Linked DNA regions of Rhinolophus ferrumequinum. The protein of the gene in region 1 interacts with the protein of each later gene in a pairwise test. Links are inferred from orthologs where the notes say so. Each region holds a gene or a part of one and is shown in the gene's direction. Other genes may lie near its edges. The genes, in order: SPTBN1 and SH3BP5.

Region 1 (7,968 bases):
TTCCTTCAACCCCTGGGAACCACCAATATGTTTTCTATCTCTATGGATTTACCTATTCTGGATATTTCATTTAAACAGAATTTTACAATATGTGACCTTTTGTGTCTGGCTTTTTTCATTATGTTAAGTGTACATACGCTAAGTATACTACAATAAGTATACAATGAACTGATATACTACAGTATGTATCAGTGCTTAATTCCTTTTATGGCTGAATAGTGTTCCATTATATGGATATACCACATTTTGGTTATCAATTTATCCATTGATGGATATCTGAGTTGTTTCCACCTTTTGGCTATTGTGAATTGTCCTACTACGAACATTCATGTACAAGTGTTTGAGTACCTGTATCAATTCCTTTGGGCATATAGCTATGAGTGGAATTGCTGGCTCATATGATAATTCTATGTTTAACTTTTTGAGGAACTGCCAAACTATTTTCCATAGCAGCTGCACCACTTTACATTCCCACCAGCAAGTATGAGCCTTCAAATTCCTCCACATTCTACCCGATACTTGTTATTTTCTGTATTCTCCCTAGGTTTACTGAGCTATAATTGACATAGAGCAGTGTATAAATGTAAGGTGTACAGCATAATTATTTGACTTGTGTATATTGTGAAATGATTAATGCAGTAAGTTTAATCAATACCCATCATAGCATATAAATACAAAAGAAAAAGAAAAAAGCTTTTTTTTCCTTGTGATGAGAACTCGGGATTTACTCTTAACATCTTTCATATATATCTTACAGAAGTGCTAACTATTGTCATCATGTTGTACATTACATCCCTAGGATTTATGTATCTTGTAACTGGAAATCTGTACCTTTTGACCACCTTTATCCAAATCCCTACCCCACCGCCCATCTGATCTCTTCCATTTAAAAAAAAAATTGAACCTATCCTAGTGGGTATAAAGTGGTATCTCACAGTGGTTTTGATTTGCATTTCCCTAAAGACTAGTGATATTGAACATATTTTTATGGGCTTGTTGTCCATTTGTATATCCTCTTTGGAGAAAATTCTATTCAACTCCATTTTTGTTGAGTTGTAAGAGTTCTTTATGTATTCTGAATATTAGACCCTTATTAGATGTATGATTTGCAAATATTTTCTCCTATTCTGTTGTCTTTTCACTTTCTTGATAATGTCCTTTGATACACAAAAGTTTTAAATTTTGATGGCGTCCAGTTTGTCTATTTTTGTTGTTGTTGTTGTTGTCATGCTTTTGGTGTCATATCTATCAATTCATTGCCTAACTTTTGAAGCACATTTCAAAAGAAAACAAAATGATAGGTTTATATCTGGAAAAAGACATACTTAGATGTTTTATTTTACTTGAAATTTACATTCACCTGCTAATTGGTTGATAAAGTGTTTATATATGTTTACTGAAAGTCCACTTCTTTTTTGCATAAGCCAAAGCTGATACACATTTTTGTTTTCTTTTAAGTTGATTTAGAACTTAGGGACACTTGCAAAGCATCCTGAACTGAATATTTTAAGGTTTTTATGATATCTATCCCTCCCTACTTTTTTATTGTTATCTTGACCACATATATTTTGATGGCAGTATTTTTAGCCTTTATCAGACAATTCAAAAATAAGCAACTTAGTTTTCACTAAAGAGCTCTCTTTTCACACTCATATTTAATTGGTTCATGTAATATTTAATTATAATAAGTGTACTTATTAAGTATAATAAGCATAACTAGCATAAACAAATTTGGGAACAAACAAAACTGACTTGGTAAATACACAGCACAACTGGAGGGAGCTGAAATATACAGTTGCAGCCGACTAGCAGAGTGTGTTTTGTGTCCATGGACATTGGTCAATATGCTTACCACACAGAGTGAACAGTGTAATCCAACAAATGGGTTAAATGAAGGAGCATTAAGAGTGCATCTGCTCTACTATTCTAGGAGTCTAAATTCAGAATTACTTGAAAAGAATTTTTTTAAACGTCGTGATATATACATAGCATAAAATTCACCATTTTAATTATTTTAAGTGTACAGTTTAATAGCATTAAGTACATTCACATTGTTGTGCAACCATCCCCACCATCCACCTCCAGAACTTTTCTCATCTTGTAAACAGAATTACTTTTTAATTATTAACATACAATGTCCAGACACACAGCTCTTATATGCTAGCTTCTATGCAGATATCTCAGACATTTAGTAGCTATGTAAAGACACTTAGTACTGGTGTCTCAGTTTTCTCATCTATAAAATGGAGTTAGTATGTACCCCAAAGAACTGACAAAAGGACAAAATGATATATGTGCTAAAAGACTTTAAAAACTAGAAAGAATTTTATAGTTGCTACTTATGATTATTATTATTGTTCACAAATTTTGAAGGTCCTTTATAACCACAAAAATGTTGTAATAAGTACTATTTCTATGGGAGACAAAGCCATATACAATCACATGGTTTTAAAAATGGAGACTAGAGTGTTACAGACATGCTATCAATGAGTTCTCTCTTAACGATGAGTTCTAGGTTCCTTTAAATCAACCTTAATTCTATTGTGACGATAATAAACTTCAGCAAAGCTGCTTTGGAGATATTTGAGAACACTCCTTTTTGTTACCATCATTACCGACTGAGGCTTTTTGTCTTTTCTAGATTCTGCTCTTCCACAGAAGCATATGTCTTCTCCAATAATCTCTCCAGATTTAGACTGTCTTTTCTTTGATCTGCTACTTTCTTTTTGTTCAGTGTACACTGTGCTTTCCTGGGTGATGATTTTTTTCCACCGAAAGGTAAGAATTTGAAACCGTGAGCAGGTACTTATAGTGAAACTCTGAATCCTTGTTTTTTACATTTTTGGAATACTTACTGCCTCTTTACTAGAGTACCTAGCTAAGGTTGTATGTGGTCTCACTTTTTGAAGGAAATTTTTAAAAAGTAAGTGGTAGTGGAATGAGGGGAGATGACTCATCCACCAAATTGAGATTTATTCAAGTACTGTTATCTGTGATAAAGGAAGCAGTTAAGAGTCACCATTTCAGAATAGTATTGGAAGAATTTAAACTGAGGCATTTCCCAGTACTGCCATTGTTCTCTTTGCTATTTCATTAACATTGTGGGTGGGGACGTGCTGGGGGCTATGCCCAAAATAAGTGAAAGGGAAACAACTTTCATTCCTAGTGGATTTCCAGTGTTGCCTAATATGGGCAGCGCTTACCTGTTGATTCTGTTCAATTCAACAAAAAATTTTTGAGCACCTCTGAAGTGCCTGCTATGTACAGTGAACACAGAACCCTGCTCTTGGAGAGCTCACCTTTCAGCTGTGTTAATAACCTTCTGAGAAAAATGTTAAATTATTTGCCTTCCTCAATTATTTATATATCTATATCTCAAATGTAAACATTGTACAAACATTCAAACTGATGGTGAAGGCCTAAAAGGAAGAATCATCTTCATGAATTGCTGGGGACAATTTCATTTAGTTTTATTTAAAAATATTAATTTAAAAATACATACAAAAATATAAACGCATCAAGCTTCAGTTCTATTGATGCGAGATATAAGCATGATCCAAACTATTTGTCTGTCTTTTATTTCTCTTTTTTATTCAGGGGTTGAGGGTTAGGTCTTTAGGGGAAAAGCCTTGGGGCTTTTGCAACCAAGAAGGGCCTCTTCCACAGAAGCTTACAGTGGGCACCGTTGGGCACCTACAGAGCAGGCAGAAAATCAGTTTCTCCAGATTGCTTTCTAGAGTTTCTAGTCTTGGTCATAGTGATGCACCGTTTTTTCCTCTCAAAAGTGCTGGTTCCATAATTTCTACATAGCCTGGGGGATTGACAGGGTTGGCCAGCTGGTTGAGAAGGGGCGAACGTCCGGTGTCCATCTCAGGATATGTGGAGAGGGGGAGAACTCAAGTCCTCAAGCCATCGCGGGGCCTTCACTGCAGCCGGGACGTCCTTACTCTCGAGCAGTGTCTCGGGAAGAGCACCCACTTCAGGTGAAAGTGAGCCAGCGTTTGGGTCAGAGGCAGGAGTTGGACGAACCACTTGTAGTGTATGTTCCCAGCTACCCAGAGGGAAAGGGTGGAAAAGCTCACAAAGGAGAAAGAGCTTGACTTTGCCGAGGAACAACCCTCCTCCCCCCATCGTCCAAGGTTTCCCACGGAGAGGTCACCATCGCTCTTTATTAGGCTGGGTGGAACCTACAAGGCACCACCACCTAGATCTGAAACCAAACCAACCAAACGACGTTCTAAAACCTCCCTCAACCCTCTCCGTAGCGTTCCAAACGCAACGTCGCGGGTGAAAAGCGGCTGCACAAGTCACGTAGATAATTAGGCTGCCCCTTTCCATGGCGATAATCGAATTAGCCTCAAATTAAACGTGAAATTGGCCCTCGCCAGCTGTGGGGACAAAGTCCCTATTGTCCCTTTGCCTGGGTAGTGGCAGCGGCGATGCCCACTGTGACCAGGCTCTCCCTGGCCAGTCTCGGCTACAAGGAACGAGGTCGGCGCTGGGCCCCGGCAGAGCTTCAGCTGGGGAGAGCGTGAACGCGCCCGAGGTTCGGCTCGCGCGTGGAGCAGGCGCCGGATGGGCGGCTGCGGGGCTCCGGACAGGCACTGAGGGCCCGGGAGAGGGAGGAACCGAGGAAGGAAGGAGGGTGTGCGGGAGAGAGCTGTGCGCGCGCGTGTGCACGCTCCCGGCGCCGGCGCGCTCCCTCTCCCCGCCCCTCGCCCCCTCCTTGCCTGCTCCCTCCCCTCCTTCCCCCGCCCCGCGCTCCAGCCCAGCCCCCGGAATCAGTGCAGCTGTTACCGTGCAGGCTGCGGATTCCTCCAGTCCCTCCCTCGGCCGCCTCTCCACCCGGAGCGAGCGCGCAGCCCCGCGCAGCAGCGCCCACCGGTCCCGTCCTGTGAGCCCCGGCCCCAGCCGCAGACAGCCCCGCGGAGTCGCCTCCCGGCCCACCCGCCCGGCCGCCGAGGAGCGGGAGGAGGACGGGACCCCGACGCCCCCACCCCTTATCCGCGGGAGGTAGGTGAGGGGCCTGAGGCTGGAACATGCCAACTCACTGGGGCTGCCACCCGGACGGGCTCCTGGGCGGCAGGCGGGCGGGAGGAGGGGCGCGGGCCCAGTCCGGCGGACGCCGCTGCCCGGCTCCCCACGGAGCGGCGTGGGGGCGGGGAGGCTGCAGAGCCAGGGCGGGGGCGGCACCAGGAGCCTGGGTCTCCAGTGCTTATTAGTGCTCGAGTTTTGCGGGGCAGGGACGGCAGGCCCCGCAGTGAAGCGGCCGCAGTGAGGCGGCCGCAGATCCTCGGTGCGCACCGCGGCCGCCCAGCCCCATCCCCGGCGCAGTGGCGCCTATTTCTCCTCCCTATCTTCGCCGCCGTGTCCCTTCATCTGGGCGCAGCGGCCTCTGGCGCGGGGGTGGGTGCACAGTGGGCAGCAGCGAGGGTATATTTTCGGGTGCCCTCCTGCTAGTCAGGCTGGTGGGGGAGCCGGGGCGGCATTGACAGGGCCCGGCTCTGCGCTTAACGGTACGGAAGATGCGGCCAGGCGTGGTCCCGGCTGCGCCGCGCTGCAGCTGAGCGGGAGGCGGCGGCCCGGTGCCCCCTCCCACCCATCCTAGTGTCCGCTCGCGGATCCGCGCCCGCTCCCCCCCCCCCGCCCTCCTGCTGTACCCACTCTCCCAGGGCTGGGCGTGAGCCGCCTGCGGGCGCGGAGCCGCCGCTGCGCCCGCCCTTCAGCTCCTGCCACCCTTTCTTCAACAGGTTTGTACCAGCGCGGAGACCCTCCCGGCCTGCCTTTGGGGTGGTGGGTTGGAAGCCCCTCTCCTTATCACCCCTTACACCACGCCCGCGGCCCTCTTTTTGAGGGGAGCCTTCCCTTTGTTTTTGTGATAGGAAAGATGCCAAATGCTATCAGATGGGGTGGGGAAGTGTTGCAGGGATCGGTACACAAACCGTGTCCATTATTTTTCCAATCAAAAGCCAGGCCACATAGTAAGTGAGGAGAAGGCAAGTGTAGGGCGCTGCCGAGGAGGAGAAAATGGATTCGGTGGGTTTGTTTGGGTGGGGATGTGCTTTTTTGGCAAGATGGATGGCTCACGGTGCCCTCGCCGTGATGCAGCACAATGCAGCAGTATCGCAGCCTCCCCGGGTTCTCGCTGGCGGGGCTTGGCACGGCCACTGGGCGCCTGCGGCCCCCACCCGGCCCCACCCAGGCCCGGGGTTGCCCTTGGCAGAGGCTGGGAACAGCATCTACCTTGTCTTGCTGTTTCAGCGGGATGTGGTGTCAGGAGGACCAGGTCACCTAGCTGTGAGGGTGGACTCTTCTTTTTGGGGTGACCCCCTCCCGCCCCGCCTTTTGGGCTGTATCCGATGAAGGGGCTTCCTGCGGCGCTAATGCGGGTAGAGGGAGCTGGCCTGCGGCTGCGGATCGGAATCTGATCTCGGACTAAGGGACCTGAGCTGTAGGGAGGGGCTGCAGGGAGGACGCGCGGCCCAGCGGTGTGCGGAGGCGCTGGTGCAGTCAGCATTGGGAGTCGCAGCGGTTTTTTGTGGATCACTCATAATTTGTGACTACAACCCAATTATCCATCGATTTCTTCCTGTATGAAAAGTTTGTGTTTATTGGAGCATCGTAACTATTACATTGCAGTACCTCTGTCTTTGGTCAATAATAAGAATATGAATTTTTCCTAGAGAAAACTATTTTTTGAAATAAAACGGTTACTGTTTTAGTTCATGTCTCCCTGAGACATTTCTAAAAATACTCACATTGAATAGGTTTTTAAAAGGAACTTAATATATTTTTTGATGTGTAGTAAATGATTAACCTGTATTGGCATTGCTTTCATCGTTTGCGTTTTCTGTAAATCAAATTACACATTTGGATGCTTTATTAGGGATTATTAGATAAATGAGTGAATTGTTACTCAGATTTTTATCGATTTAGATAGCCAAGTTCGTTGTGACTAATGGGATTGTGATGGTAACTGACTTCATTTGTGTTTGTTTATATGTATTTTTATACATATTTTTTGCAGATGTCGTTGGGGAGGGAGTTGAGAAGTGCAGACCACCGAGGCCTGTGTGGCTGGTATCTGGTCAGAAGGAGACGGTTGCCAGTGTTCTCATCTGTTTAGTCTGGGCTAATACACAGGGAATTTCCCATCTAAATGCCACTTCTACAATTCATTTATTCATTGTGGGATGGCAAATGGAATACATTTCAAATGTCACCCAGATTCTTCTAAAATGTTTAAGGGAAAAAGGGAATTTCAGTATGCTAACTAACCGGAAGAGAAGGTCAGTATTTCAAAGCAAGGGTGTGTCTACTTTTATTTTTTAAATCTCTCATGAATTCAAGTTGGTGGCATTTGATTTCACGTGGCTCTGCAGAGTAGAACTGAATGCAGATTGTGTGGTTTATGTGCATTATTTTGAGTTTCTCTTAAAAGAAGGCCATTAAAAATACAGAACTTTTTGGATTTTGGCTTCATCGGTGTCTGCTTGTATAAAATCGTGTTGCATAAAGATGTTTGGGAGTATTGTTCCCATGATTATTCAGACATTTTGGATTTACTGTGTTGTAAGAAAATATCCTGTGTTGATGTCACAGGAGGTTTAGCTGTTCTGACTTACACACCAGGTGCAGAATTCTGTTAGGTTAAGTAAGCTCTTTGTAACTGTTCTCTCTGGACTGACCTAAACCTTCATCTGAAAGTAGGAGAAGTATTGGGGCACTGAAGAAACTGTGGTCACTAGGTCTTCTCTGTTGTGCAGGGTTTCTGAAGCGGTCTCTTGGGCGAGAATACCTAGTAACAAATGTCTGTGATGTTGCAGGAGCAAGTGAGAAGATCTCACTCTCTACTTGTGACACATCCTTAGCAGAGACTTGACATTGGCAGTTTCGTTGGAAGAGTTTGTTGGAGTAGTTATTTTGTCTTGCTACTACGTATATGAAAGTATGACTTTACATGTGGAA
Region 2 (7,513 bases), on another chromosome or scaffold:
ATCTACAACATAAGGAAGTGGTGGGCAGGGAATAAACACATATAGTGTATTTACTCCCAGTGTCCGGGTTTAAACAAACTGCAAGGAGGTAGTAAAAATAAATCGACAGAGAGTGTGGCTTCCAAGCAATGCAGTCCTCAAAGAAAGACTTTTTTTCTTGAGTGTGGTTTTCTAGGATCCATCAGCTCCAAGTGAAGGGGTTGTTTCAATCTAGTTGTGGAGGACGCAGCTCACCGTGGCTCATGTGGGGATTGAACTGGCAACCTTATTGTTAACGGCACCGCGCTCTAACCAACTGAGCTAACTGGCCACCCCAGTCCTCAAGATTTTTAAGATGTCAGCCATCTCCCCTCACTGCCCACACTGCACAAAGTGATCAGGCCCCTGCCGAGAAAGTGTGGCTTTGATACAGGTGTGCCCCTGCACTGCTGGGACCCACCCAAAGCCTGGCAGGCAGAGATGGCACTCAGAAACCACATCACAGACAAAGCACTTAAAAAGCTAACCGTTTCCTCCAAAGGAGCAACATTATAATTGGGTGATGAGTTCTTCATAGGAATTGACAAAATACAGATCCTAGGAAATAAACAAAGACATGATACATGAGTGGCACCTTATCTAACCATCTCTTCAATCATTTAAAATTGTTAAAGTCTTTTAAAATGGGCAATAATGTACTGTGCCTGTAATACTCCACCAGTGTCCAACAAGGGTCTTGGGTGGGGGTACACATCTTTTGAATGAAGGAGGAAGTGGAATATTGAAATACAAATAAAAAAGGATAACAAATTTAGAACACACAGGTCCTCTCAATCAGTCATTCTCAAATTTTTTGGTTCAAATACTCCTTTATATTTTTAAAAAATGATTGGAGATGTCTGAGAGCTGTTGTTTATGTGGTTATAACTACTGGTGTTACTGTATGGAATTTTTAAGACAACATTTTTTATTAATTCATCTAAAAATAATAAATCTGTTTGGTGTTAACATAAATGTATTTTTTATGAAAAATAACAAGTTTCTAAATTGAGAAATAGTTTTCAAAACAAAACAAAGAGTGAGAAGAGCACTGTTTTACATTTTTGCAAAACTCTTTAACGTGTGGCTTTGTAGAAGACAACTAGATTCTCATATCGTCTGCATTCAATCGGTTTTGATATCACGTGTCTGCTCCTGGAAAACTCCCATGCATACATACTTGTGAGAGAATGAGAGTGAAAAAGGCAAATATTCTGTTAGTATTAGCACGAAAGTAGTTTTGATCTCAAGGGCATCCTGAAAGGTCTTGGAGACCTCCAGGGGTGTCCAGCCCACACCGTTAGAACCACTGTTCCAGATTGATAGGCTAGCTAAAATAAATATCAAGCATTTGCTTGGCTTACGAAACATTTACATGGCTTGCCTTCTTGGTATGTGAAGCAGCAGAATTTATAAAATTGGCCCATTTCCTCCTCCCTGATGAACATGCTCTTGTATAATTTGGGGAATTTGTGAATATAATGGGAGAGTCACTGTGGGGACAGAGCCAGGAGTGCAGTTTCCAGGCTCTCGGCCTCATGTGGAAAGGTGCTGGCTCAGATAGTAAATGGCCATCAACTGTGATTGGATGGCCATCAGCTGTGGCTAGTTGGCCATCAGCTGTAACCAGTGAGCCATTGGCCACTAATATAACTGCTGTGGCTACGCTAATATAAATGGGGGCTAGCAAGACGATGGTGGCTGGCAAGCGCGGATTGCAGTTAGGACGGCAGGCTGCGGCCAGTGTGGCTCCTGCTTCCTGTGTCTCCAACCCAGCCGCCAGCAAGACTATAGTGGTATGACTCCCCTACCTATGGCTCCGTGGGTGTTCCTTTTTGGCCTCACCATGTCCTGCGTTCTTATGTGGGGAGCGGGACCAGAGACCCCGCATGCCACCCTGCACGACAGTCACTTCCATGATAATAGGTTATGTATATGGATGGCACAGTTGACTTTAAGAATGGGAGACTATTCTGGGTGGACCTAATCTAATCAAGTGAACTCTTAAAAGGGATGGGCTCTTCTTGAATAATAGATTGAAATGTGAGATTTCATGTAATTGAACACCAGCAAAATTCTCCGTTGCTGGCTTTGAAGGTGGAGGGGGTCATGTGGCAAGAAATGCAGGCAGCCTCCAGCATCTTAGACTGGCCCTTGGCTGGTCGTCAGCAAGGAAACAGGGACCTTGGTCCTACAACCACAAGGAACTGAATTCAGCCAATAACCTGAATGAGCATAAAAGGATTTCTCCTCAGAGCCTCCAGAAAGGAATGCAGCCTGGACACCCTGACATCCTCATTGAGCCTGAATACCCTGAGCAGAGAACCTAGTCATGCCGTACCTGAACTTCAGAACTACGGAACTGTGAGGTGATGAATGAGTATTGTTTTAAGCTGCTAAATTGGTGGTAATTTGTTATACAGCAACAGAAAACTAATTCAGTATGTATTATTTTAAATTTATTTTTAAATTACACAAATAATCATAAATACATCCTCCTTGTAAAGAATAAAAACATCATTGAGAGATTAAAGTTCCCTTTGCCTTCCCGATCCCCATCATAGCCAATGTTGAGCCCCTCTCTATCCCCTTTTCCCAGGGGTATAAATATCCCCTTTGCTGGGTATGAATCCTTCCACCAGACCTTTTTCTATGCATTTATATGCATATATATGTACCAACAGAAAATATACAGTACTGCTGTGGTTTATGTGTTTTTCTTATTTTAACTTTAGAACACTATTGGGATTAATGCTATAACTGGCCCAGGTCTCCTAAAAATAAAACAACAGAAGTCTAAATCGATGTTCTAGCACAGTTTCCCTATATACTGTGGAGGCATTTGAACCACTCTTGCTCTTAGATCTTAGCATAAATAAAAATATATTTTAGAGGTTGTTGTTGAAGATGGGGGTCCACCAGCTGACAAGCATTTAGAGTCAGGGCTGACTTCGTTTCTGGTTTTTGACCTCTCTCGCTCAGGTTATTCACAGCTAGGTTAGGAAGAACCTGCTCAATTATGGGCTCAAATCCAAGCCACCAGGGAAACATTGGTGGCTCATGTGTCCCAAAGTTCCCCTTAATGGCCATCTTGTCCCTGCCTTTATCCACCACTGGAAAATCAGGGAACTTCGGAAGATTTTTTTGAAGAATTGCTGAGTCTCTCTTGATTTAAAGAACAACGAATAGGTGTGATCTTTTCAGAAACAAATCTATGGCACACACCTATATTACTTACCTTTAGGAGACAGGATGAAATCTCCTTTGACAGTGGACCACAGCGCCAGTGTGGATAGGGTGGTACCTTGCCCAAGGAATAACACCCCAATTTAGCTTCTGATGAAACTGTCAGAAGCAAGTTTTCCAAGGTGGCTTTAATGATAGGCTCTCAGAAAGAAGCTCTTTCTTCAAGCAAGTTTGTCCTCCATACTCAGAGCAGATGGGCCACAGCCTCTATATAGAAAGTGTACACATTCTGCATTTTGTAATGATGGAGACATTAGCAGTGGCCAGTGGCAATGTCCTTTCTGCTTTGCTAAGGTCACCTCACCTTGTGCTCCCCTGACATCACAGTAGCCCTGACATTTTATAACAGCACAGACATGCTGTTCTTTGGCCTTTTGTGATGTTGAGTTTGCCAGGAAAGCTCTGGCTGCCCACTTGTTCTGGGTGGGCAGGAAACCTCACCAGTTCAGAAATCCTTGGAGGGAACGTGCCCATTCACAGGACTTACACTTACCACCTCCTTGAAAAGGCTGTGCCCACCCACCCACACCTCTGATCCATGGATTTTCCATACCTCCTAGCTATTCAGGTAGGACCATCCCACAACTGCCCAAGTGTTTGGTATGGAACTCTGCTCAGTGGGATTCCTTTGGAAAAGTGATCCATGCATGGAGCTGCAGCTGGTTCTCCTCTGTACTTTTGTGTCTATGTGAGCATACGTTTCTGTTCCCTTTTCCGAGGAAATCTTCAAGGGAATACAATTCCCAAGGTTCACCCAAGGGGAGAAACGTGCTTTGGGCAGTTACAGACAGGGGTTTGAGTGAGTCTTGAAATTGGTTCACGGCCACTGAGTACAGGCTTCTAAAGGTGACTTCAGAGAATGGAAATACCCCAAACTTTCCTTCCATATAGTCAATTTGCCTTAGATGAGGAAGGAGGGAGAACAGTGCCCCAAAAGTAGGCGGCCAACATTGGGTACTTTGTGATATATTCGGTCTGTTAAGTTAAAATGGGGGTGAGGGCCCTCCTATTTCGCCACGCTAGAGGTTTTTAGAGAGTTGGGTTTTTGTGACGAGACCTGGGTTTTGGGGACCGGCGGAGGAGTGAGAGTCAGAGCAGCAAGGAGGGTGGCCCCGGCGGGACGAGGGCGGAGCGGGCGCCGCTGCGCTGACGGCCGCGGCAGAAAGGGGGCGGCCGCTCCCATTTCCTCCTCTCCGCCTCGGCCGGAGCGGCTCCCTGGTGTCGGCTGCGGCTCCCAGACCGTGCCGAGCTGAGACCGGCGGGCTCCGGCCGAGCCTGCGGCGGCCGCCCACCCTCCCAAACGTCCCGAAGCCCGCTGCGCTGTTCGCGATCCGGCTGCGGGTATGGACGCGGCGCTGAAGCGGAGCCGCTCGGAGGAGCCGGCTGAGCTCCTGCAGTCGGCCCGGGACTTGGAGGAAGAGGAGGAAGAGGGGATGGAGCAGGAGCTGGAGGAGGAAGAAGAGGTGGATCCCCGGATTCAGGTAGGACGCGCGGAGGGCGCCCCGGATCCCCGCTTGGCGAGGGCCGCCGCGGAGATCGGCATCCAGTGCCTGCGCTCCGGGGTGGGGGTGCTGGCGACGTAGGTCCGGGGGCAAGAAGAGAGAGGCTGAATACTGTTTCACTGGGTTCATCGGGAGGCTGCAGTGCCCTCATGGATGCGGCCTGAATATGTTACCGGGATCCCCCCGCAGACCGCGGCAGAATCAGGGGATCGCTGCAGCGTGCCCAGCGGTTGGGCGGATGTGCAACAAAGGGAAAAAGGGGGCGGGGGCGCCACGCGGGTATCCCGGGTATCCCGGCCAGGCTCGCCACACCGCTGGCATTGCACGGCCTCCTGGCCCTGGAAGGAGGGGTCGGCTGCCGGGTGGGCGTTGTCCGCCCCTGCAGCGTGGGCTGGCACTGGTGCCCTGGGTTCTGAGTCCTCACCTGGTGGAGGTGCCCGGCTTGAGCCATCTTTCCTCTCCTTTGATTGTAACCAAACTGAAGGGTTTTTTTTTTTCTCCTTTTTTCTTTTTGTCACTACTGATTCAACCCTCCACTTGGCCTCAAATGATTTAAAACCTAGCTTTTCCTTTTTTGAGGTCGGGTGTGAACAGAAATCAGGAACAACTGATGCGCAAAGCTGACACGGGGAGAAGGCGAGGGGATTGGCCTGGACCTCTGCACCTCCATTTGTAAGGGAGATGATTAAAAAACAATTTCCAAGCCAAGATCTAGGGTTGACCGCTTAACCTTTTCACCCTCTAAGCAAAAAGCAGAAGTCCAAGACTCGTTTTTCCTACCTTCCCATAAATCATGCACACACACACACACACACACACACGTGTGTCTCTCTCTCTCTGTGTGTGTACACAATATATATTGCTTTTAAGTATGCTTTCAATTCCTGGAACCCGCCCTAATTGGTTTTTCAGTGCACAGATCAATTAAAAGCTCATTTAATTCAGCTGTTGCAGTTTAAATGAATTGTTTTGGCAGATTGGCAAGGTAAAGATCAGGTGGAAAAAAATCTTTGTATCAGAAATTTTATTAATTAAATTAATCAGTTTGGACTAGTATCTTGTTTTGTTGGTACAGGAATTCTGTTAACAAGATCCTTTGTTTGCAGAGTAAAATGAGTTGACTTCATGATGGGTGCTTTTTATAAAATTTTAGTTTGTAAATGTTTATTTAAAGGTAGTTTTTTTTAAAGCTAATGTTTTTGTTTGTTTTTTTAAAAACACCTAGGGAGATTGAATAATTGGCAGTTTGAAAAGATTTTCATCTCTCTACAAAAATACTCAACCACCAATGAGTTAATGCCAGTGTTCTGCCCTCGATTTAAATCATTTCACTAGGTTTATACTTTTGGCTTGGCTTTGTTTCTTTTCTTTTCTGCAAAGTTCTTGCTGTAAGGCAGAAGGTACTATTTTGATATCAGCCCTTAAATGATTTGTAACAGGTGGGTTTACCTGAAGGCACAAACCTGGAATAAATATTTAACCTCCTAAGAAAATCCCTATGACCGTATGACATTTTCAAAAGGGACACCATCAAGCAAAGGTTTCAGAAATGCTGACATTCATTTCTCTTCTAGCCAAGGCTCAACTATTTTTCTTGAGAATACTGACACTTCCTTCTTCCCAAATTGTGCTGGAGTAGTTTTGCAGGTCATGGGCTGAGTCACTTGGAAACAAAAGACAAATCCCTTAAATCTTTTTTCTGCCTCTTTTCTTTGTTAGGGAGAACTGGAGAAGTTAAATCAATCCACGGATGACATCAACAGACGGGAGACTGAACTTGAGGTACTGAAGGCCAGGTTCCTGTTCTTGGTGAACTGGTGTCTGTCCTGCTAACACCAGAATGGTTAATTTTGTTTTAATAGTTGGAGGGTGATTGCTGGTGTCCCCTCCTCCAGTTGAGCAACAGCCTGCTGTCTGACAGAATAAACTATACGGCTGAGCCCAGCTTGTGGGTGGAACACATGTGGATCCAATTTCACATGTTGTTTTTTTATTATGGAAGCTCTGTGGGGCCAAAACCAAGGGCTTTACACATGCCTAAGCCCTGAAGTTAATGTGTCTGTGGAAAAGCTAAAAGAACTAAGGTGAAAATGAGCTGAACTCTTTAATGGAGAAGAATACATGAGGTCACAAAATCTCTTTAATATTTTAGGGCAGTTCCTCATATTGTACTTGGAAACATTGTGTGTTTGCTCAGACTTAAAACCTTTTTTTTTTTTTTGACTCTCCTGCTCTAATAATTCACCCCCTTCTACTTCCCTGCTCATTTCTTTATTGTCTGCTTGTGTGTAGAATATAATTATTTTAATGGTAAGCAAAAGCTGTTTAGACGGAAGGGCTTTCCTGCTGGGAAGAATCTTGGGAGACAAAAGTTGATTTGAATTTCAGGGGCATCTTCCAATCTGTGTAAACAGATTAGTATTCTTCACAGCTACCAATTAGTCCCCATTCCTTTTCAGTAGTGGTTGGTTTTACCATCAATCAGCAAATTTGAATATCCTCCGCATATATCTGAGAGCCTGTGAATGACTGTCAGAGAGCTGAAGGAATGCAGGGAGCTGTTGGGAGGACCTGTTTCTGTAGCAGGAGAAATAGCAGGGAAGGTCAGTGGAAAAGGCAGGAAACATCTGGTCCCAAAGAGTGAGGATGCAGGAGATAGAAATGTAACCTACCAGCAATACACTGGCAACCTTGATTTCTGACTGCATGCCATGCAGAGGCTTCGGGGGGTACCAAATCTGGATGTG

What was found.
Region 2: the proteins of SPTBN1 (region 1) and SH3BP5 interact in a two-hybrid assay, tested with the Homo sapiens proteins (2 studies listed by BioGRID and IntAct). The link is inferred for Rhinolophus ferrumequinum from reciprocal best matches to the Homo sapiens genes SPTBN1 and SH3BP5.

What each region holds. Positions count from the first base shown.
Region 1 is NC_046296.1:33,100,009-33,107,976, reverse strand, and holds the start of SPTBN1 (spectrin beta chain, non-erythrocytic 1), read left to right. Parts: upstream 1-4,814; 5' UTR 4,815-5,013; intron 5,014-5,730; exon of another isoform or gene 5,731-5,750; intron 5,751-7,968. UniProt on the Homo sapiens protein: Fodrin, which seems to be involved in secretion, interacts with calmodulin in a calcium-dependent manner and is thus candidate for the calcium-dependent movement of the cytoskeleton at the membrane.
Region 2 is NC_046300.1:31,251,435-31,258,947, forward strand, and holds the start of SH3BP5 (SH3 domain-binding protein 5), read left to right. Parts: upstream 1-4,370; 5' UTR 4,371-4,607; coding exon 4,608-4,745; intron 4,746-6,485; coding exon 6,486-6,548; intron 6,549-7,513. UniProt on the Homo sapiens protein: Functions as a guanine nucleotide exchange factor (GEF) with specificity for RAB11A and RAB25. Inhibits the auto- and transphosphorylation activity of BTK. Plays a negative regulatory role in BTK-related cytoplasmic signaling in B-cells.